Linked DNA regions of Cricetulus griseus. The protein of the gene in region 2 interacts with the protein of the main gene of each other region in a pairwise test. Links are inferred from orthologs where the notes say so. Each region holds a gene or a part of one and is shown on either strand. Other genes may lie near its edges.

What was found. The genes of interacting proteins can lie anywhere in the genome.
Region 1: the proteins of Egfr (region 2) and Gsn interact in a protein complementation assay, tested with the Homo sapiens proteins (2 studies listed by IntAct). The link is inferred for Cricetulus griseus from reciprocal best matches to the Homo sapiens genes EGFR and GSN.
Region 3: the proteins of Egfr (region 2) and Txn interact in binary tests that used the Homo sapiens proteins (3 or more experiments, as listed by UniProt). The link is inferred for Cricetulus griseus from reciprocal best matches to the Homo sapiens genes EGFR and TXN.
Region 4: the proteins of Egfr (region 2) and Got1 interact in a protein complementation assay, tested with the Homo sapiens proteins (2 studies listed by BioGRID and IntAct). The link is inferred for Cricetulus griseus from reciprocal best matches to the Homo sapiens genes EGFR and GOT1.

What each region holds. Positions count from the first base shown.
Region 1 is NC_048599.1:147,072,905-147,078,890, reverse strand, and holds the start of Gsn (gelsolin), read right to left. Parts: upstream 4,129-5,986; 5' UTR 4,001-4,128; intron 1-4,000. UniProt on the Homo sapiens protein: Calcium-regulated, actin-modulating protein that binds to the plus (or barbed) ends of actin monomers or filaments, preventing monomer exchange (end-blocking or capping).
Region 2 is NW_023276807.1:89,399,911-89,405,359, forward strand, and holds part of Egfr (epidermal growth factor receptor), read right to left. Parts: intron 2,969-5,449; coding exon 2,900-2,968; intron 2,109-2,899; coding exon 1,990-2,108; intron 983-1,989; coding exon 841-982; intron 1-840. UniProt on the Homo sapiens protein: Receptor tyrosine kinase binding ligands of the EGF family and activating several signaling cascades to convert extracellular cues into appropriate cellular responses.
Region 3 is NC_048595.1:85,907,949-85,913,884, reverse strand, and holds the start of Txn (thioredoxin), read right to left. Parts: upstream 4,129-5,936; 5' UTR 3,996-4,128; coding exon 3,972-3,995; intron 1-3,971. UniProt on the Homo sapiens protein: Participates in various redox reactions through the reversible oxidation of its active center dithiol to a disulfide and catalyzes dithiol-disulfide exchange reactions.
Region 4 is NC_048596.1:18,043,507-18,049,569, reverse strand, and holds the start of Got1 (aspartate aminotransferase, cytoplasmic), read right to left. Parts: upstream 4,129-6,063; 5' UTR 4,036-4,128; coding exon 3,918-4,035; intron 1-3,917. UniProt on the Homo sapiens protein: Biosynthesis of L-glutamate from L-aspartate or L-cysteine. Important regulator of levels of glutamate, the major excitatory neurotransmitter of the vertebrate central nervous system. Acts as a scavenger of glutamate in brain neuroprotection.

The DNA.
Region 1 (5,986 bases), on a different chromosome or scaffold from region 2:
CATCCGACTGCATCTGGCTTTACTGCCACTTCTAGGCAAGAAGGTACCATGTTGGTATGCCAAGCACAAAGCCCTCTAACTCAAAAGCCATCCGGGTTGGGCGAACCTGACAGTATGCCACCCACCCTATGGTGTGCAATGGACACTGGAGTCCATTAAAAAAGCACTCAGAAGCCAAATCTTACCCTTCATTTTGTCAGTGGCACAGACAGGACCCCAACTCCAGCCTTTAGTTGCCTAGCCTCACCCACCACACCCACTGCTTTTCTTTCCCCTACCCTGCAATTGCCCATGTGGTCCCAGGCAGGGCAGGAGCAAGTAGACACATCTCAAGAGGAGGGGGAGGGGGAGCCAGCGGCAGCAGCAGGAACTAAGCCTGCCTGTGGTCTCCAACTTCACAAACCACACCAGGCTGAAATATGACACACGCTCATTCAGCTGAAAGGGAGGAGATATTTTTACTTAACATCAGCTGCCTAAACATTGCTCTCCCCTCCCCGCCACCACCACCATACATAACTTCTGGGACCCCCTTTTCTTTGCTTCAGCTCAATTTTCTTAGAATGTACTTTCCCCAGGCTTTTGGGATGTCTAAGAGTGTCAAATAGTAGAAAGGAAGGACCAGTTCTGGCCAGGAGCCCAGCTAACAAAAGACCTTGCCTGCTTCCAGGAGGCTTAATTTCCTAAAATAGATGGGAGACTGAGCCACACTCTGGGAACCTGTTGATGGTAAAGAACATATGTGCTTATAAATAACTGTGAGGCCTCTCCAGTCTTCCCTGAGCTGTGCAGACCAAGTCCCAGCACCCATGTAAAAGCGAGTACACAGGCACACATCTGTACCTCCAGGTGCACAGACACACATCTGTATCTCCAGGTGCACAGACACACATCTGTATCTCCAGGTGCACAGGCACACATCTGTATCTCCAGGTACACAGACACACATCTGTACCTCCAGGTGCACAGCACACATCTGTACCTCCAGGTGCACAGGCACACATCTGTACCTCCAGGTGCACAGGCACACATCTGTACCTCCAGGTGCGCAGGCACACATCTGTACATCCAGGTGAACAGGCGCACATCTGTACCTCCAGTACAGTACTGAGCGTGGAAAGAACAGAAACAGGTGAGTCTCTGAGGCTCTTTGGCCAGGCAGCCTAGCTGAACTGTTGAGTTCCAGGTTCACTGAGAGACTATCAAAAAATAGTGGAGGGTCTGGTGAGATGGCCAGGCGAAGCGAGTACTTCCTACAGATGCCTGACAGCCTGAGTTTGACTCCCAGACCCAGGTACAGGTAGAAGGGAATACTGACTCTGCAAAGTTGTTCTCGGACGCCACATGTGCACCCCAGCATGCTTACCCACACACGCACATAACACATACACACAGTAATAATAAATTAATAGTAAATAAAAACTTTCATAAAAATAAGTGAAAAGTGATAGATGCCTGAAACTGACCTTTGGCCTCTACACATACACGTGCATGTGCACACACGTGTCCACACACACACACACACACACACACACACACACACACACACACACACCACAGACATATAAAAAGCACTAAGAATGCAGCCCCACACCTAAGCTAGCACTTGTAATTTCTCTTACATTCTCTGGTCAGCAAATACTCAACAGCTGTGGGCCCAGGCCAGAAGCGTTTCCTTGAAGAAAACCAAAGATCAGTGTTTCATCAAAGCGCTACAGGCCAGAATGATAACATCTCTGTGGACAGACACATGTCATCTAAGAGCCAAACTGCCCACACACAGTCAGGCCCCAGAGGACCAGGAAGCAGGGAGTGCTCCCTCCCAGGCACAGTGCTCACTGTGACAGTCCACCTCAAAGGAAAGAGGAGGACAATCAAGACAAACGAGCCTGTCCCTCATTTTGAACCTACAGCAATAATCTTTTTATTTTACAACTATTTTTTAAGAAGAAAATCCACTACACTGAGATACTGACAATAACAGCATCTACCAAGTAGCTGCGTCCCATCTGTTTTCAGGTAAAAGTTACCTGTTGGCCATCCCAGCAGGCATTGCTATGGCTTGGACCTGCCTGCCAACCACGAGACTCATCCTCAGGGCCTCGCTGCCTCTAATACAGCCCTTCCCCCTGCACCCACACATCAGCCACTAGGTCAATGAGTTCTTGGTCACAAACCTTTCCTGGCATCTTACTGCCTGTGGAGTAAAGTCTAAGTCCCTATTTTAACCAGTTCTGTCTTCATCACAGTCCCAATTCCAGCACTCCAACCTTGCCCCATCCTCCAGTCTAGCTATGTAGAATGCACAGAAAAACTCAGCGCCTTTGCACAAACTGCCCCTGCTTCTTGGAATAGCTCTTGCCCTGATCCCTCTTCTTCTGGCAAACTATTACTCATTTCCAAGGCCTGGCTCAACCAGACTGAATTAGTCACCCCCTCTTACTATGCTGTAACTGAGTATGGTCTAAATATGTCAAGATGGGAAGTATAGGGAGTGCTCTCCTCCTTGGGGCTCTTGAGCCCCTCCATGGTCAAGACCCAGAGCATCAGGTTAGGAGGGAAGGAAACTGATTGACAGGCAAGCCTGCCTGCTTCCCCTGGCTCTTGTGAGGCTCTCATAAAAAGACTATGGAAAATTGTGGAATAAATTCCCTCCTGGGGTTGACACAGAAATCTTTGCTTCTGGATAATTTACACAAGTGCCAAACCAAGCTCCCTTGGCTGCTTATGATTTCCCTGGCATTTATAAATAGGGAGGCCCAAGAAAGGAAGACAGTCTCAAAGAAGCTGGGCACCACCGGATCCCTGTTCCCATGCTGCTGCTTCCTCTTTCTTTTAAAGTCTCCCCCCAAGTGTGGGGCAGCATAACACCTCTGGCCAGTACTGCACAAAACACCCACGAGTCTAAGGTCCCACGAAAGGAATCAGGAAGAATAGGCTGGCGCTGGGCCCATGCCCTGCCACTGCCTCCCTGTGTGACTCTGGCCCTTGGGTCACACTTAGAGATGGAGTGCAACTCCACAGAAGGGGTCAATATAAAGTGGCTCTGAGGTCCTGGTACTCCGGTCAGAATCATGGTCCCTGGGGAACAGGATGGTCAGAATTAAGTCTTTGAAAAGTCCCAGAGGTCAAACAAAGGCAGACACTAGCCTTTCACAAATGCTTCATACCCAGGAATGCCAGGAAGAACTCCTGGGTCTGTGAAAAGATTCCTCCCTGCTCTGTGGAGACTCTAAGAATGGAATAAAGGGATGTCTGGGCTCGGGTCAACCTACAGTTGGATCTCCTGCTTGCCTGTATACCCCAGCTCTCAGACCTGGGGCTTCCCCTGCAGGCCCGGCAAGCCTGGACCATGGGGGAAGTTGCTATAATAAAGTTGGGGGAGAGTGGACCTGAAAAGTGATGGAGACCCTGAGATAAGGTGCTCCTAATCAGGAAGGCGTCGACGTTCGGTCAGAAGTTTCTTCTCCAGGCTGGAAGGTAATGCAACACTGCAAGGCGGGAAATAAAACAGCTAAATGCCTTCAGAACGGTCATGAAGATGTCAGGCACGCACAAGGAGGAACTTTCTAACAGTTTTTGGGCCCTGAAGGAGGAAGGTGTTGCTCAGGAGTGAAGACTCCACTACGCGGACTCCTCACCCGGCCACTGTTCAAACCATGCATGGTCAGTCACCTCTCTCGGGGTCTGACACCCCCAAAGCAAAGATGACTCGGGCCCAGTTCCCCGCACTCGCGGGGCGGGTCGAGGTGAGGTCCAGTGCCTGCAGCACTGAGGATCTAGGCGTGGCGGAATGGACCGCTCCTCTTCACCTCTAGCTCCGGGCCACCTCCCTCGGTCTCCTGGAGAGAAGGCAGGTGAGCGAGCACGTCCTTCTCCCGAGATGCCCACGCGTGGGCCGAACCCCAGACTCATCCGACCTCGGATACGCAAGGGAAGGAGAGGAGATTAAGCTCAACCCACCCCGAAAGCCCAGGACCCGAGCGGCCCGCCTTCTTACCTGCGGCGGCGCGGGCAACAGCGGCTGCTCAGTCCAGCTGTAAGCCCAGCTGGTTCCTGGAGTCGGGGCGGGGTGCTCTGCGCGAGCGGCCGGATGGGCAGGGCACACACCGGAGCCGCCCTCAAGGCGGGGCAGGCTGCGGGGGAGGAGCACAGCTGGGAGGATGAAGACTGGCTCCAGGCTAACATTCATCCTCTGTCCGCCTGAAGGTGTCTACCAAGCCCTCTGCGGTCCACAGGAGGAAACTGAAGCTGGGAACATGGAGGGCAATTCTGAAGGGGCCCAAGGTAGTGAGGAGCAGACTCGGGTTCACCAGGGCGAGGCTGGGGGCAAAGAGTGGGTAGTTTGCGGTGCAAAGCTAAAGCAGTGCCGGGAGGTCCTTCAGAGGCAAAGCCCTCCATCTGGGAAATAGCTCCCTGCAGGAAGAGGTGATCTGCAGTCCTCCAGCAGCTTGCCCTGCTGAAGAGAACAAGGAGAATCTCTTCTAATGTCACCCAGAAGTAAGGAAGGAGAAATGCCAAGGCAATCCCATCCTGATGTGTCCAGCCTGGGGACTCTGGGCAATGAACTATGAACTTAACACATCTAAGGCTCAGTGCAGCCACTTATCAAATGAGCCTCTCATGGTGGGAGGGGACATGACTCGACTTTGTGAGAAAAGACACTTAGCACAATGGCAAACACAGAGGATCATCTCTCATAAACAGATGTTCACATTAGTGCAAAAGCAAATGTTCCCTGAGGGCACTGGTTGGGAACATGAGTGGAAGGGCACTTCCATGCAAGTGTAAGAATTGATTTCTCCCCACTGCATCAGACAACACTTGAGCATTTATAAAGGAGCAGGATACAGGATGCAGGATGCTACAAGCATGGCTTCCCTTTGGAAGAATTCTCACACCACTCAGGATGCGATGTCCCTTCCAGTACAACAGTAGCTCATGTTCACCACAGTAAAGCTCCCTCCAACACAAGGTGAAATGTTCCGGGATTTAGTAATTACTAGGTGCCAAGAGTGGTATTTTAGTGGCAGAGAGAGAAGAACTCAGAATTTCCTAGTTTAGTCTTTCATTGAGAAGTAGCCAGGGAAGCCACAAGGCCTGGGGAATCCCAGGCTGGCTCATCCTCCCACCTACTCTTTTAGGATCTGCAATGCTTCTCATGTCACCAGCTTTCGCCTTGTCTCTTTCCTGTCTCCTGAGGGAGGCGTCACGATGTATGGTTTTCAGAAGAGATGACTGAGCGACAGAAAAGGTGGGTTCTCTGGGTCTGGTCCTCTGTGAACAAGACTTGGCTGTGGCTCATATGTTCAATGTCCTGTGTCATACTCTGCCATCCTTCCTGGCTTGGTAAACTGCCCAGATCCACTTCCTCTAAAACCTAGAGTGTCCACACTAGGGGAAACTTACACTCCCTCTGTAGGGCCAATGGGCTGGGAGGCAAAAGCACAAGCTGCTTGGCTTTCCACTGATGCTGAGCCCAGGCATACACATTGTTTCCAAAGCCAGCGGTGGGAGAGGAACCTTAAATTTGTGTTCCCTCGAGCTGAAGGGCATCACATTGGGGTAGAAGAAACACAAGAACATTTGTTCAAGCCCTCATGGTAGAGAGGAGGGGACAGGTCAAGAGAGCAAAGGGCTTGTTCCTATAACTCTAGGCTGGAAAATGCAGAGCTATCTCCTGAAATTAATTAAAGTATGAAGCTACGATGATTGACGCTTGCAGAGGAGGGCCAAGCACATTCCTGCTCCTTCATTTCTTGGTGTTCCAAGATGCTCAGGGGATATTCTAACCTGTTCTTTCCTGTCAGGTCTGCTTTGTAGGGGTTCTAGGAGTCCCATTCATCTTCTTGTCCCATCCCCTTCTTTTCTGGACATCTTGAAGCCCATCATCAGTCAGGTGCATTTGTCCTGGATCCTTGCCTGCAAATGGAAGAATCTTGATGTAGTCTTTTGACAGAATACCTCCCCATCCTCAAAATGAGGA
Region 2 (5,449 bases):
TTTTTTTCTATTCAAGATGGTGGATATGTTATTTTTTTCTAATTTAGGTCTGTTAAATACCAGCAGAGTACAGAGTCAAACAATGATTAGTCCAGAAGGTTGTGATTTTGTGTTAGTCAGTGCCAGGACACCTCAAGTTACTATAGTTGTCCTCAGACTTGGGGTGAAACAACAGGCATCTTTTGTTACAAAGTCTGGTCACCAACTGTAGGATCAGTGCAGATGAAGCCACCCTTGGAGGCCAGGTGCCCTAGCTGCTGCAGGTTGCCTCTGCCTCTGTCGCTCAGCACTGAGCTGGCTCCTCACTTTTTGAAAAAAATTAATTAAAATTTTTCCTTTATTTTACATACCAACCAAAGTGTCCTCTCCCTCCTCTCCTCCTATTGCCTCCCATCTACCCCCTTTCCCCATCCACCCACTCCTCTTCTGTCTCCATCCAGAAAGAGGCAGGTGTCTCATGGGCTTGAACAAAGCATGGGGCATCAAGTCAAGGTAGGACTGAGATCCTCCCTCTGCATAAAGGCTGGACTAGGTAATCCAGCATGGAGTACAGGTTCCCATAGGGCAGCTAAGCCCCAGGGAAATGATCTCACTGCTAGGAGCCTTACAAACAGACCAAAGTATACAACAGTCACATACCCACAGAGGGTCTAGGTCAGTCCCATGCAGGCTCCCTAGCTGTTGGTCCAGAGTCCTTGTGTCCTCACCTTTGTATCTAGCTGGGCATGTGCTAACCTACCTGACAACAAGGCAAGCACAAGGGGCCCCAAACTACCCAAGACTCCAGCATAAGACAAAAGAGGACATGGATGACAGGAAAGTCAACAGTGGACAACTCACGTGGGCATTTCTTCACACAGGTGGCGCCAAAGCTGTACTTTCCCTCAGGGTTGACATCCATCTGATATGTGGTGGGGTTGTACAGCATCAGTGGTGGGCAGGTGTCTTTGCATGTGGCTTCATCCCGGAACTTATGACAGACCTGTCATAGGAGGGACAACATGCCTGCTCAAGATATTGCATCCAAATGAAAGAAGCACAGGGCCAGGCAGCCTGCAGGTCAGGCCAATGGCAGCTCTCAGTGCTCAGGAGTTCAGTGAGAGGGAAAAGAATCCAGTCAGCTTTTCAGGGTAGTCAGAAACATTGCCCTCTTGTAAGTAACAAGTACTATTTTTAAGTATACTGACTGCTGCAGTTGCTATAACGTAGGGTTTTTGATTAGAAAAAATACATCTCTATTGATTACAGGTGACAAAGAAAGGTAACCACGGCCAGGTAAATATGGTGTGACATCATTTTTAAACCCAGTTTATACTGGGTTTCTCTTATAAAGAGTGCTTTGGAAGACATTTTAGAATTTATCGTCAAAGGGCTGGCATCTTAACAGGAAGCTTCCATTCAGAAAGGGCGAGATCAAAGGTCTTAGCTCTTACTAAAAACTACATGGACGGTCATTCTCCTGTGCTGCTCTTAGGTCCAGCCCAGACTGTCCAAGTGTTAACATCCGGGGCTAGCTCTGGTTTGGGATTTAAGAATCTTCTGTTTGCAGAAACCATACGATATTCTAGACTCTAGCTTAGGATGGACTTCCTCTTCTGGAGCCCAACAGGGCCTTGCTCAGCTTTGTGCTAACCCCAGGAATCACATTCACTAGCCCGTGCATTCACAAGCTCTTTCACCAGAGCTTCGGTAGTGTCAGGGGAAAAAAGACACCATGGGATGGCATAGGGTAGGGGAGCAGCCAAGAGGCATTGAAAGATGGTGGGCAAAGTGGAATGGAGGGGACAATTCCAATGTCATACTGTGCAAGGTCTGTGTAACTGGACACATCTCAAGGGGTCTTACAGAAGCAGCTCTAGACATTTGTCATAATGCTGTTGCTGCTGTTGGCCAAGACAATACTTATTTACACTGTGCCCCACAGGAAGGCCCCATCACAGTCAGTGTGTAAAGCTCTGAGGCCTGCCTCCCCAGTGCCTACAGTCTTACCAGACAGTCACTCTCTCGGGGTCCTGTACAACCAGCGGCACACTGGTTGTGGCAGCAGTCACTGGGGGACCTGCCACGGCAACGCCGGGAACATTGCTGGGCACAGATGATTTTGGTCACTGAAAAAGAAAGATCACCAATGAGCTGCATCTAGGTGGCAGCTTATCTTCCAGGGGCCTGGAGGAACACTTGCATGCAGTAGAAAGAAACAGATGGGAAGATGGATGGATTTCCTGACTGTGGAACAGGCTTTTAGGCATTCACATTCAGCCAAACTGAGTATCATCACAACCTTCCCCTCAGTATATCTCTTATCATTTATTTCAAATCACTTAGGAGACGTGATTAAAGCAAGTCTGTCTGATCAGATCTTTTGAATGAGTAGATAGTAGCTAGAGAATTCTTGGTGGTACAGAAAGCACACAAGCCAGAAGAGCACCTGACTGGACATGGTGTTTAAAAGAATGGATAGTTATGTCACAAAGGCAATGAACTGTGGTCAGTTTTGAGGCTGATACATTCCTGGGTTCTTTAATTAACTCCAGCAACCATGCTGGAGTTAATTAAACTTTTTAAAAAGTAGGATTCACACATATGCTCCCTGGAGAAACCCTTGGTACTAAGAAAGGGGGAGTAGGAGCAGAAACAGGGCATCCTACATAACTTAGGCACTTGGGTAGCTGGCTTTTAGGCATTTTATGATGGTCTGAAGTATCCCAAATAGTTAGCCTTTGATGGCTGTGTGCAGTTGGGTTGGCAAGACCAACACTCATGAAATAGTTAACACTGGGTCCATTGCCAAGTTCCTGTACTCGTCCTGTTACCAAAGTGTAGGAGAGGTGGGCCACACACTGTGTGGACTCCACTCACAAGGGCATGTTTCTCAGGCCCCAGAGCTGTGCTGACTTACATTTCTGGCAGTTCTCTTCTCCTCCTCCCCAGCAACTTCCGTTCGGACAGCTCGGATCGCATTTTTGGCCTGAAATAAAAATCTATTAGTTAAATGCATACTTCAATAAAAGTGAACAAATGACATGAAACCAATGATGCCTCTCCCAAGGCCCTAGAGAATGTTCTAGAAACAAGGAACAGTTTGGAAACTTCGTATTCATAGTTGGCTTGGATGCTTTGTAGGGTAAACTAAAAGACTCTCGTGCAAGAAAGGAAAACTGTGAGCCATGGACTGCTTTTGTTTGCACTTTAGCTTTGGAAACTGAGAGAGAGAATACCTACTGACTTGTCACAGGCACACAAATGACAAATCTAAATGAGTCCAGGGTCCGAGAATTGCCACCTGCTTTGGTTTCTCTTGACAGATTGACTCTGCGTAAATTCATTCAACTTGCTATATCCAATCTTGACTGACTTGGGGGTAGAGTGGGGCAGGCAATCATCACTGAGTTTAGGGATGTTAAATCATGGCTGGTAAAAGCACCCTTCTCCTCCAAGTCATGGAGTAGCACAGAAAATGCCACAGGAAGTCAACATTCTTATTCTGTGAATCACTTGGCCAATTACCTAAAACTTCAGTTAATAGTTGGCACGCTACTGTCTGGAAATCTTTGTAATTAATAAGTTTTTGTGTTTTTGTATTTGGCCCATATCAAATTGCAGCTACAAAGATTTTTTTTAATATCTTGAGTTCTGTTCTGCAATTAATCACACTGAAAAATGTGGAGATCAAAGTGTTAGCGAACAAGTTTGTTGAAAAGTTCTACAGAACAGATTTGTCCTTCTTTCCTTTGCTTTTTGTGGTTCAGCATACTTAACATTTCCATTAGGCTTTTAAAGACCACTCTGTCTAGTTTTAAAACCTTCTTTGGGGCAATCAGATATCATATAATGTAACTTTGTTTCACATGGAAGCTTATTTGGTGGTGTTTAAATTTGGCTTTTCAACTTAACATTCATCCTTACTTTCCTTTCTAGTACTTAAATGTATATTAATATTTTATTACATATGCTTAATACATATTTGGAATTCATATTGAACCATGGAGTAACTGCTGAATTTATTTATTTTCTTTCATGTAAAGCTATTTTCTTATAGCCTCAAATTCTAAGCTTCATCAACAATAATATACACTGGTCACAGTGGGCCATTCTTCTGAATCTCAGACATCTCACCTATGTTACAGTGAAATTCACCTCATAATACTGTGTTTGTCATTGTTAAAGATGGAATGCAAACTTCTCAAAAGGCTTGTGTGTTTGCAAACCACTGGTCAGTGGAGGAGAGGAGAAGATAGGAGACACCAGAGACAGATTTCCTATCTTCTAGTATGGATAACTCTCATGTCCTTACTTGATTTTTAAAAACTCTGCTATGGCTTTGACACTTTGGCCATTTGTCTCTTAGTCTTTGTTATTACAGAACAATTTATCAAATGAATTCTTACTTGAAATTCCACTTATTTATGCAATTTTGTTTCAGTTAGGCTTATTCTCAAGACTAGTGTTATAGTTTGGATATACAAGGACTCCTAGAGGCTCATGTGTTAACAGCTTTATGTCACAGAAAGATGGCAGAAACTTGAAGAGGTAGAACTATTGATCACCCTCGCAAGATGTGCCCATGGTTGCAATAGTGGCATGAACATTATGAGGGGAAACTAACCATTCTCTAGTTGCACTTAACATCTATCCTGCAGAAAGAAACATGTGCCTCTACCGTAAATCTGGTCAATAACTCAAGGCTGGGAGCTCCTAAGCCTTAGGGGAGAGCTTACTACTATTATTTTGCTAAACAGATATAGCATCAAAGTGCTTTCAAAACACTTAAATCTGGACCATAGATTAGAGAGCAGTCCTCATAAGAGAAGCTTTCTCGTGTAGTAAAAGATAATTACTACAAAGACTTGTGCTGGTCAAAGTGCAGAGAATAAGTGTCTGTGGAGTGCTCAGCTGTACACAGGATGTCTGTATCACAGTCCTCACTCCTAAGGCTCTAAGATCATCACAGAAAAGAGGGCAGAAAGATTATAAGGGCCAGAGAGTTCAGGGAAAACTGCTGTGAAGCAGCATCTTCTGGACATAACAGGGCTGCTGTACTCACGACCTCACAGCAGCTGTGGCTGCCTGCCCAAGACCTGCAGAAGACCAAGCCAATCCACATTCCAGCACGGGTGGGGGAAGGGACCATGAGAGCCTACCCCTGGCTGCTGGAGGAGGGAGAGCCATTTGTTCAGGGGTGTGGCCCCTGTTTGGTTAAGCGTGCTGCAGTGGATATCCCACAGCCATGCACGTATGTGCAGCACTAATTGTACTCAGTGGGTTATTAAAAAGATATGAAAGTGGGAGGAAGGCATTAGAGCAGAGGAGTTGGAAGGACGGTAAGGATGTCAAATATGATGACAATTCATTGTATACATGTATGCAATTGTCAAGTAAGAAAAACACTGTATGAAAACAGAGGTGGAAGTATTGGAAGCCCAGTCGTTGAAGGCAGTGTCTTTGACGG
Region 3 (5,936 bases), on a different chromosome or scaffold from region 2:
ACACGAAATCACTTTATATTAACACTAAATAAACAAACAAAAAGGAAAGCAGGCATCTGTACTAAAACTGTTTTCACATCAAAGTTTGTTCCATAGTAAGACACTGGATTCTTGGGGTTCCAGGATTGAAGAACACTCAAGACACAGTTAAGCAACAAACAAGTCACAAGATAGCTAACCAATGGGGAAATAAAAGAAATTGTCTAGGGTGAAACACGGGAAAGATCCCCAACCCTTCCAGAGTCCAGGAGACCGACCTTCCTACTCAGGCCATCATTGCATAAACAGATTTTGTGTGCTTGGCTTTAGAGTGTGAGTGAGTGTGAGTGTGTGTGTGTGTGTGTGTGTGTGTGTGTGTGTGTGTGTGTGTGTGTGTGTGTCTGTCGGCACACAGAGGTCTGAAATCCCCAGAGCTGGAGCCATGGGTAGTGGGTACTGAACAAGGGTCTTCTGGGAGAGCAGGAAGAACTCTTAGCAGCTACGGTAGCTCTCTAGCTCCTCCTGTGTGCTTATTTTAAACAGCACTTCTAGAGTTGGGAATCACACTGCTTCTTTTGACTTTTGCCCTATGAATCAAAATGCACTGTTCTTTAGATGAATCCAAGTTTTAGTTCCTCAAGAAGAAATTTTTCTTTGGCTGTTTTGCTTAAGTAACACCTGTCACATGCAAGTCCCAGAAAAATAATTAACAACAGTAACAAAAAATCCCTCACCACCAACCTCCCTGAATTATTTACCAAAAGCCTTGATACTGTAACCCTAGGAACCTAACATTCTAGTTACTAGGGACTCATTTAAACTGCCATCAGTCACTTGGTGCTGCCTAAAACCAATACTGGAGCAACAAAGATGAATAAAAATAACCACAAACAGCTATATCTGAAGTAACATTTCCTCCAGGAGAGATAATGTTGGTCAAATTAATTATAAAAACTAGGACAGCCTGGCAGTGGTGGCATATGCCTTTAAACCCAGCACTAAGGAGGCAGAGGCCAGGCTAGTCTACAGAGTTCCAGGACAGCTAAGGCTACACCCAGAAACCCTGCCTCAAAATACTCAAAATAAATAAATACAAATTAAGAACCATATTAGATCTGGCCCAACAAAGGAAAGTAAATATTTCAACACTGTACAGTTAAAACACACACACCCAAAACAAACCTAATGAGTTTTCAGAGTATAGCTACTTTAAATGTTTTAAAATTTTTATTTTATGTGTATCAATGTTTTTGTCTGCATGTATCTATGTACATCACTTGTGTGCCTGGTGCCTTCAGATGCCAGAAGATATACTAGAACCAGAGTCACAGATGATTACAAACCACCACGTGGGTGCTGGGAATCGAACACCTGTTTTCTGAAAGACTGCCAGTGAGTGCTCTTATTCTCTGAGTTTTCTCTTCTCTTCAGTCCTGAGCACTTACTTTTCTGGCTTTTAATTTCTACCTCATATTTTTCAAGGAAAATAATCAACCACATATCATTTCTGAGAATAGTACAGAATGGCTATGACAACTTCTAAACACTGCCCTAGTTATACAGGTCTATCAGCCCATATCTGGGTGTGAACACAGCTAAGTGTTAGGGTCAGGAGGTGGGACTATAGTGCAGAGTAAAGGAAACCACCTTTCCAAACCACCGCTGGTTGTTGCAGACAAATTCCATACAAAACCTTCCCTTACATGATTACTAAAAAGGCCACACCACCCATTCTTTACTGCAGGACACAGGGCAAAGACGGCATGGCAGGCTGGTCTGACAACACCCACAAATGGAACATGACTGATCCTCAATAAAAATTTGATGACACTACATAAAAAACAGGATGAACTTCATTTCAAACACTCTCAAGGTTCCCCTGCTACCCAATGGCTATGAATGAAATTCAAGTAAAACTACTTAAAACTCTGAAAAAAAGAGGCTTGCAACCCTAATTTCTGGCTTCAGTGAATATGAGTTACAGAGATGTGTAAACTTCACAAATAAGATCTCTTCTCCAGATGTGTAAACTTGCCTGAACTGGCTTGAAGAGTATTCAAAATTGTCTAAGAAGCAAATCACAAATTTTAGCTTCAGAAACTAATAATCCATCACAATTAGGAAATGGTTCCATCACTGACACCGATGATCTGAAGAAAACAGTTGGAGTAGTTAGAAGCAGTTGCTTTGATCCCTCTTCTCAAATATTCCTAGCTCAGGGGCTGGCAATGTGACTCAGCAGATTAAGGTGCTTGCCACAAAAAGGAGAACTGAGTTCAATACCCAGGATCCCCAAGACAGAAGTGAACCAACCCTCCCAAGCTGTCCTCTGACCACCACAAGTGAATGCCCCACCCCTATACGTAAACGGAAAAGAAAGCAAAACAAAAGGCCCCAAACACAAAACCAGCCCAAAGGTAGCAATACAAAGTGTTCTTTGCTTTTTGAGACCGGTTTCACTCTGTAGCCCAGGACAGGAAGGTGGTGATCCTCCTGCCTCAGCCTCCTGAGTGCTGAGAGCCATGAGCCAACACCCTGGTCTAACATAGTCTGTAAAGCACTGAGCAGCATGCCTTGTGTGTAGTTCAATAAATAGTTTTAGTCTTAAAAATAAACAAAGCAAACCAACTGTTGATTTTTTAGCCCATCATCCCACTCCTGTCTGGAATCAGGGACCCTTAACTAACCGTACAGTCCATACAGTCCTCAGAAACACATGGTTAAACCAATCAACTTAAGCCCACCAGTATAACCCTAGGTGTATTCAATTAATCTCTGATTCGGGGCGACTCTGATCAGAGCCTTGTTAATAGGCCTTTGGGGCCCAAGGTTTTTATGAATAACTGGTTTCCTGTCCCCAATGCACACCTTTTCTACTGGAATGGCAAAGGTCCCATAAGTAAGACAGTTTAAACAGGTAAGGACCTAACTGGGTGCTGGGTCGAAAACGACTGATAGTGGGTGGATTCTGAGCAAACTCATGTACTGAGACCCACCCAACCAGGCCCGAACAGCTCATAACTGGAGGCGTGGGTCTGCCTTCCTTGGGCTCCCCTAGTTAGCTAGGTTAACAAGTTAACTAGGTTACCTTGTGAGAGTCTTCCAAACATCAATTCCCACCACCGCCCCTTTCACTTTCCACTTTACAAATATTCCCCGAGTAGTTACAGTGTAACAGGCTCTGACTTTCCCAATCTGGAGGATATTTTGGTTCTCAGTAACTTTCAAATATGGCAACAGTTTTTCCCTTAGGTATTTTTTTCTTTTCCCAAATGGCAAAACCTGGACTTTGTAGTGGACTACTCCCTGGGAGGAACAGAGCCCTGGTTCCAGCAAAGCCCACTTACAGCGGGTGAATCACTGAAATCTTAGCGTAGTGAGGCCCCTGGGCCCAGACATTGGGGACTGAGTCATTCCAAAGCTAGCGCTGCCGGAAACACGCCCTGAGCTGCAGGAGGAGGAGGAGTCCCACAGGCGGGGCCTGGACCTTTCTCCTTCCTAGTAGTTACCTGGAGCACCTGCCCGAGGGTCTCCAATAGGTACCGGCCCCCGTGCACCGACCGGGCACTGGTTCTCTAGGCAGTGGACCACTGATGGAGGCAAACTCCGGCCTAGCCCTGAGGCACAGGACACCCCGCGTTGTGTATGACAGTGTACACGCGAGGAGTGGCGGCTCTCATTTCTTCCCTGAGACTCCGAATCCTGGTTCAGACGGGGGTTCACCCAAGGACCCCCTCCATCGTTTCACCTCCGCCAGATTAGAGCTGGCGGTAAGGAGAAGGCTGGAGGCTGCAGGAACCCAGATCGGGGAACCCAGGTGCCGCCAGCGGTGCACCTCCGGTACCCGGCGTTCCAGGGTCTCCCCGTCCCCTCCCCCAGGCGTGCTCTACAAGCCCAGGGCGCGCACAGGCCCCGGGCCGCTCACCACGGGGATACAGAAGGCGACCAACACAGCACACGGCGGGGTGCGCGCGTCGTCCGGGCACGCGTACCTTGCTCTCGATCAGCTTCACCATTTTGGCTGTCGCGGGGAGGAACCACACGAGTTTCTGTAGGATCGGATGGAAGCGGATCCGAGATGCCTGACGGATCTTGCGGCGGATCGAGGCGCCCGCCTTCTCTTTATAGCGACAGGGCGGAGCACGGCGGGGCGGGGCGGGGCGGGCGGGCGCGTGCAGCGGGGACGCGCTCCCTGGCCTCCCGCGCCCGCCAAGCCGCCTCGGCAGGCCACACCTAAGCCACGCCTCCAAGAGGTGGAGCGGAAATCAGGTTTCCAGGGGGCGGAGCCACAGCCGGCTACTAGAGCAGCTCCGGTACTTCCCTAGTGATGGCCCCGCCCATGTCTCCTCCCTCTGCGCGGCGGAAAGCTGGCCTTGGTTTACAGGGGGAGAGGCTAGCGCAGGCGCCTGGAGCAGCTTCGGGCTCCCAGACACCGCCCTGCGCTTACACAGGGAAGTAAGTGTGCGTCCAGTTGCTCTAAGGGCATTTTCGTTGTGCACTACGTAGGGAGGATGCTCATAGTCCCCTCTCACAATCTGGAGTCCTTCTAGGATCACATTGGCCAGGCCCCAAATAGACCTAAGTCAGATACTTCCAGACTGGGCCTGGGGACTGCCCAGGCAGAAGTGTATCCTTCGACCAGGGCGGCCATGCTGCGGTTCCGCCTCAAAGTGCTGAGTAACGATGACTAGGAAGTGTCTCAGTGCACTCCTTCCCCTCCTTTCTGGAGATTTCCCTGTCCCTTCTCTCCCCCCTCCCCTTCCTATTCTTTAACTTTCGCGGGTGAACCTGCTACTGGAGAGGGACAGAGTCCTTTAGTGCCCTTTTTTTGTGCCCCATGCGCATGCGGGCATAATGGACATCGGATTGTCTAGTTCACAGCGTTGTCTCGAAGGATTTAAGGGCTTGAAAACTGACGAGGACAGCGCTGGGCACATAAGGAAGCACTCAATAAATGATTCTAATTATAGTCATCGTGAGCGCTAATTAAGCTTGCGTGGTGCCATGCCGGCCTTGCTGAATTTGGCTGCCTTGTATTTACAATGACAGTGTACATGCATTGCAGAAATTGTTCTGCCTTGGGAGACGCCAGGAAGAGTGTGTGCCAATGATAACTGGGGTGATGTGCAGGAGGAAGCTAAGACATTGTTAGGGTGGCTTTGTGCAGCCCGAAGCTGAGGTGGAGACTGGACAGAGCCAGCAAGCTGGGAGGATGTTTGCCAAGGCTGCCTTTTCAGAGCTGAGCAGATCTAGATAAATATGCATCCAGAGGTGAAGAGCTGGAGATGGTGAAACCGTGTCCCTGTCTCAGTGCCCCTACCACCACCACCACCTTTGTTCAGAACTAGAAGAAAACCAGAACTTTTGAACCAGTTGTGTGAAGTTTTTGGAGGGCTGAGGAATGCAAGTAATGAGTGAGGATGTGGACAAGACGGAACATTCTGAACCCAGCCCTAGACTGAGGGTGGGTGCGGCCCTGAAGGCAGTAGCCTTCCCTCTGAAGACAGCTGAGGCAGAGAGGACCCCTGAGCTGATGAACAGAATCTATAACATGCTTTTCAGCTGTTCTTTTCAGTCCAGCTACACTCCAGCTTCCTGGCTATTTAGTAGTTGGTGAATCTGTCTATCAAGGCCATGAAATCAGTGACCTGTAGGACCTGGTCCCTCCCTTAACTGACACTTCCCCATAGACCCTCAGATGTCCCCTGGCTCCCTGACACCTGTCCAGTCCCACCACACATAGGGTTAATGTGGAGGATGTTGCAAGTGCAGAGAACAAGGAACTGGGAGGTCAGCTTTGCCATCTCTCCTGTCTGCATCCTCACTTAGCAGCTGGGTTACTCTAGGCCAGTTTATTTAGCTTTCCCAGGCCCCAGTTTCTCTGTGAAATGGAGTTAATGCTACTTCTGGCTGAAGGTTTGAGCTGTGGTATGTGTAAGGTACTGAGACTTGTGCTT
Region 4 (6,063 bases), on a different chromosome or scaffold from region 2:
AACAGACCCCGCAGGACAGAGAGAAGGGTCTAAGTCAGAAGGCCCCCAAAACGATCCAGAAGAGAAATACTGAAGACGTGAAATAAGGCCGTGGTGACTGGGAATAAAGACAAGGGAAGAAACAGAGATGGACTTCTGAGGAAGCAAAACTAGAACCCAAAGACTAAGCACACACAACAGGGGGCACCAGTGACAGGGCTGCTGGCGATCCCAATGCCCATCTAGTCTGGATAGTGAGTGGGTGGTGCGTTAAGGAGCTAATGGAGACACAGAACATATGGCGGCAAATAAGAAGGGTACTAGGTGAGGAGATCCAGGACGGAAAGCTCTCATAATTATAGACACTAGTGGAAACTGAAGGCCCGGTAATAACAAGGATTTACTAAATACTCTGCACATTTCTTTCTTCTCATTTAATTATTTTAACAAACCACAAAATAGATGGGTATTAGGAATCAGGAAACTGAGGCCAGAAATTATTTGCCAAAGATAAGAAGAGTTAGGCTGACTCTACTGAGTCCAACAAAAGCTTGCTTCCTTTCTTTTTGATTTTAATAGGTGATGCCCAAGGGAATCGAGAAGCTCTGAGCCCAGAGCACTTTATCAGGACCCATTTTATCAGCCGTGCTGCTGAGCTCTGCTCTGTGGTCCATGGTCCTTCTTCCTGAGTGAGCTTCAGGGCAGTCACGCAGGCTGTAAGCAGGCCCAGCAGTCTCGCTTGGGAGAAAGGCAGAACAGAGTTGAAAAGTCCAACTCTCACCCGCATCTCCTCCTAAAGGCTCCACTTCCCTCGCCTATCCACACCCAAGAGCCCGTGCACATATGCCTCTAAGACCCCTCTCCACCCTGAGCTCTGAGAAACACCTAGTACAGCTCATTTAACCAATAATTAACATCTGGAGATGGAGAAGCCACACTGAAAATAACTGACTTAAACTAACCAGACCAAAAGAAGGATAAGTTCACTTTAAAAAAAAAAAAAGGGGGGGGGGGAACTGGGTGCTGGAGAGACAGCTCAGTCTACCGAGTGCCTACCACACACCCAGGAGACCTGACCAGATCCCAGACACCCACATAAAGAGCTGGTACAGAACAGAGGAGACAGGCAAATCCCTGAGCTCACTGGTCAGCTGGTCATGCCATCAGTGAGCATTGGGTTCAGTGAGAAACACTGTCCCAGAGGAAAAGGTAGAAAGCAATAGTGCAAGACACTTAGTATCAACAGCTGGCCTCCATGTGAATATATACCCTCACGATGCACACAGAAAAAGACAGAGAATAAACAAATAAATAACAAACAAACAAGAGATTTTGCTTCAGGTTGGACTTGTGTCTCTCTGTCCTTAAAGGCACTACAGTCAGAGGCTTTGAGAAACACTAAGCCCATCAACTCCATAAGCACTGCGCTTAACATTGAAGAATATGACACACTGCTCTGTTTAATGACAAGAAAACTATTGAAATCAGCCCAGCAAGAGGAAACATCTCTGAGGAAACTATCTGCAAATGGGAACCAGCTCACGAGATTACAGTAGCAGTTCATTCTAAAACTGTCCAGCATTGCTAAAACCGGAGTGGGGGAGTGTCCATTACCTTTGACCTTGGGAGGAAGCATCACTCTCACAGTAATTAATCTCCTTTACAAAGGTATGTATGTGTGTAAGTAAACAGGACATGTAGGTGCAGAACGAAATCATTTACTCCTCCTCTCTTTTGTGATTAGACTCCTAGCTGCCATCTATCACCCACACACAGCAGGTCACAGCAATGACCAAATAGGTTTATCTGAAACACCTTTCACTTACATATCACATTTCACAATTAATTGTTCTTTTACTCCATGGTCAGTAGATGGGGTCAATACAATTATTCCACACTGCATAATTACAGAGCGTGCTGGGCAATCCTGGAGTTGACTTTTGATAGACTGTAATCATCATTCAGGCCTGATACCTCATTCTACCTCAGCTTCAAGGGCATTAATTAGCCCTCATTTGACCACACAGGGGCCGGGTACCCAGGCAGGGAGCTCCTGCCTCTTCTCCCTGTAGGTTACTGGCTACCCCCAGGCCAGCTGAAAGTATCCCAAGCAGAGAAGCTGCCAGAGACCCTGAAGCCTGAGACCTGGCTAGAGTCCCAGGTCTCCCACCTAGGGGGTCAAACTATACTTTCTCCCAGGGCTTCAGCTTCCTTCCTTGCAAATGGGAGAGAAAACAACTCCCAGAATTGCCGTGGGCACACAGTGCACTTACATGCACAACTCATTGCTTATGTTCTTAGGTTCCTGGAAACAGTGATGGGTACCTGAGCTAAAGATTGCTTTGGGCTATCTGGACTGGAAGCCATAGCAGGGAGGATTTTGTGTGCATGAGCGCTTTATTTCTGAACCAGTGTCACAAATTATTTTGTTTTTCAGTTTGTAGGCTGATAATTTTTATTCAACTTCTTTTTAAGAGACCCACTCAAAGAAATGCCAAAACAACAACAGAAATAGCTACCATTATATAACTCCTGCTTATACTCCAGACTTCAGTCAAAGCCTGTGATGGCGTTTAGTCTCCGCAAAAACCCTGTAAGATGGGCCAAGAAGATCAACCTCAACAGTTCTTCTACATAAATTAGGCTATAAAGAAACACTTGGAGCTTCTGCACTGGATTTAAATAGAGAGCTTTTTTATTTTTATGCAAGACAATCAGTATTTCTCCTGCTCTGCTGGCTGCTAAAATAAAAAAAAAATCATAGTTCCCTCCATTGGAGGAACAACTAAACACTGGTTTTTTAGTGCTTTATTTTGAGAAGTTTCAAACATACATAAAAGTTGAGAAAATAATGTATATCATTTATGCCCATCACCCACCATCAATAACAGCACTTCAGGATTGTCTCTTGCCCCCTCCTATTCTTTGATGAAGTGTGTGTCTGCGTGTGTGTGTCTGCGTGTGTGTGTCTGTGTGTGTGTGTGTGTGTGTGTGTGTGTGTGTGGTGTGTGTGTGTGAGAGAGAGAGAGAGAGAGAGAGAGAGAGAGAGAGAGAGAGAGAGGATGGAGGGAGGGAGGGAAAGAGACAGAGGGAGGGAGGGAGGGAGGGAGGGAGGGAGGGAGGGAAAGAGACACAGAGAGAGAGGGTGGGTTATGTACAATTTCTTATAAAGATCTTGATTCCGAATCCCCTCGGCACAAATCTTTCAAACCTTCTAGCGCCTTTAATTCCTCGTCTTACTCACTTTTCTCTCCTTGACTGGCCTCTGTATATGGACAAATGTAAACCAAGCTCCCTGGAGCGTCCCACATCAAAGCGACAGTTTTAATAAAAGTCGCCGGAGGCTCCCGTTAAAAGGAGTTTCAGACAGTTTCCAACACAAACCTCCTTAGCAGATTGTTCAAGGAGAACAATCAGGAAACGAAGACCCAGATGTGTGGGCCCCGAGCTGGGCTGCACCTCATCGGCTCCACTCTGAGGATAAACCAAGCCTAGATCTTGCCGGGACCACGTGGTTTGACGGGCTTCCTAACTGGTACCTCCCGCTCACTCAGCCCAGACCGCAGCTCCGTTAGGCTAACAGCTCTTCCTTCCCACTTCCCGGCTGACCACGACCCCAAAGCGACCAGACTTCTCCCTCCTTACAATCCCTGGCCATCTTGCTGCTTTGGAACTTGTACTATAAAGCACACAGGATGGAGAATCAGAAAAACTACGTTTGTGCCCCCACATGCTGCACCTGTTCTGCGTGACCTTGAACACACCACCTCTTTCCAAGGACTCGGTATCACCATCTGCAAAATGGGCAGGTTGGTGGATGCCCCCCTCGTGGTCCCAGCCTTCTCTCCCGGGCCCCCTCTCAGGGAGGCAACAAACTAAGCCTCGGCTCCTCGCCGGGTCCCCCATGCTGCTGGCATTCCAGGGCACTACATCCTTACCTCCCACGCCGAGGTTAACCTTGAGGGGATCTGGATCCTCCCGGAAGTCTGCAGTGAGCTTAAAGACCAGAACTGGAGGGGCCTGCGGAACCTGGGCAAAGACTGACGGAGGCGACATCCTGATGGAATCTGCCGAGACCTCGAGCGCGAGCCCGGAGCTACTAGGTGCGGTGACCGGAGGAGAGGCTCACCTTCACCGGCGGGCGGGGGCAGCCCGCGGCTTCCAATGGCCGAGCCGCGTCCGGAACTTGGCAACGAACTTAGCCAATCACAACCTTCTGACAAAAATGGGTGAGGCGGGACAAGTCTCTATGAGCCAATTCAAAAAGAGAATCTTATCGGAGGCTCGCATGATGCAGCCAGTGAGATTTACACCGGAGGAGGTGTGGGCGGGGGCAAGGGTGATTGGCACAGCTTGTTCCAATCGCTGAGACTTTTATTCCTTGCGGTGATGAGGATGTTGCGAGTGGCTGGAGTCCCCAGAGGACACTCCTTGACCTTCTGGGGCCTGGATCCCTGGAGCAGTGGCCCGCCCATGCGTATTGCAGAGGACAGGTGTCCCAGTGACTCGCTGAGCAGTCCCCGGCAGTGCGCACGTTCCTGAGCTGGCCAGGCCGGGCTGACAGCCAAGTCCCCGGCATTTGTGCGCAGAACTCGAGTGGTCATCCTGGACACGCTGTACTCGAGCGCGGGTGACCTTGATCAGCTCCACTCAGTATGTCCTCGGAAAGAAACCCGGGAGTGCTGTCTGCCTCGATCGCTGGCAGGGGAACTCTGCAGAAAGTAAGGGATGAGCACATGCTAGTTTGAGGATTTTACTCCCGGGTTACTTACAGAGAGGGGGGCCTAGTCCTCAAGGACCTTTAAGGATATGGCGAGGCCTCCGTCTGTAGCCTTCCTCCCACGTGTGCTGTCATCGCTTGGCGGATACCCAAACTGCTGCTCCTTTTTGTCAGGCCGCAGCTTCCCCGAGACTGTTTCTGCCCACATCCTTTCTCCACCTGCTGGTTGACCTTGAAGATTCACATCTGTCAGCCCTCCATAAAACCTTTCCTTAGCCCTCAGTCTGGTTGGAAATCTCTCTTTCCTATGTGCCAGGTGTTTTGCTGTCGACCTTACAATTTTAGAAAATGTTCTGATGAGCAGAAACCTAGCTCTGGAGCCAGGAAAGTTAGGTTTGGAGGCTGGCTGCCACTGACTGCCTTGGGCAGGCCTGTTCCTGCTCTGTAAAGTGGAGATAATAGTGTTTTCCTCGGGGTTGTTGTGGGGATTATGTCAGTTAATACACATAAAGTGTTTAGTTGCATACAGTAAGTGCCCTCTAAATACTAGCTTTGTTAGTGCACATCACCCCCAACCCCTTGCAAATGATAGGCCGCTTTGCCTGGGATCTGGCAAACATCCCTTCATTCCTTACACTAAATATCCAACAAATGCTGGAAGGAGCCAGTTCCTCGGTATTTCGTGAGAAAACAGCATCATGGCTTCCTTAGGAGAACACGATAAATCTTCACCTGAGTTTTCCATCCAGAGGATAAACACAAGCTAGGAGCTTTGAGCAGTAGCTGCTGACCTTTTCTGTCCTTTCCTTTTTTTTTAAGGGATCTGCCCACAGTGAGTATTTCACTGCTTCCCTCTACCAGTCACAAGCTAACCCTGAAGGTCCAACAGCCGTCATGGACTTTCAGTGCGTCCAAAAATCACAGCCTGAGGGCAACTGTGGAGGGGGTAGTTTCCACAGCCTAGCCTTCCTAGAATTTGATTTGCAAGTATGGTCTTCACAGCGTTAGCCAACAATGTCATGGTCACTCCCTGCGTCATTCCCAGAGAGAAAAGCAACCCTAGGTTACCTAAACACTGTCAGTGTGGCTAAGATCAAGTAAATATTTCTCTGAGTGTGTGTGTGTGTGTGTGTGTGTGTGTGTGTGTGTGTGTGTGTGTGTGTGTGTCGTTCTGTTAGGTACAAAGCAGCACATGTGGGGTAAATATGCACCTGTGTGCACAGGTGTGGGGGCCAGAGGTGAACAACAGGAGTCTTCCTCAGTTGCTCTCCACCTTATTATTTGAGACAGGGTCTCTTACTGAACCTAGAACTCACAAATTCTATTAGATTGTATGGTCAATGAGCTCAGAGACTCGTTGCTCA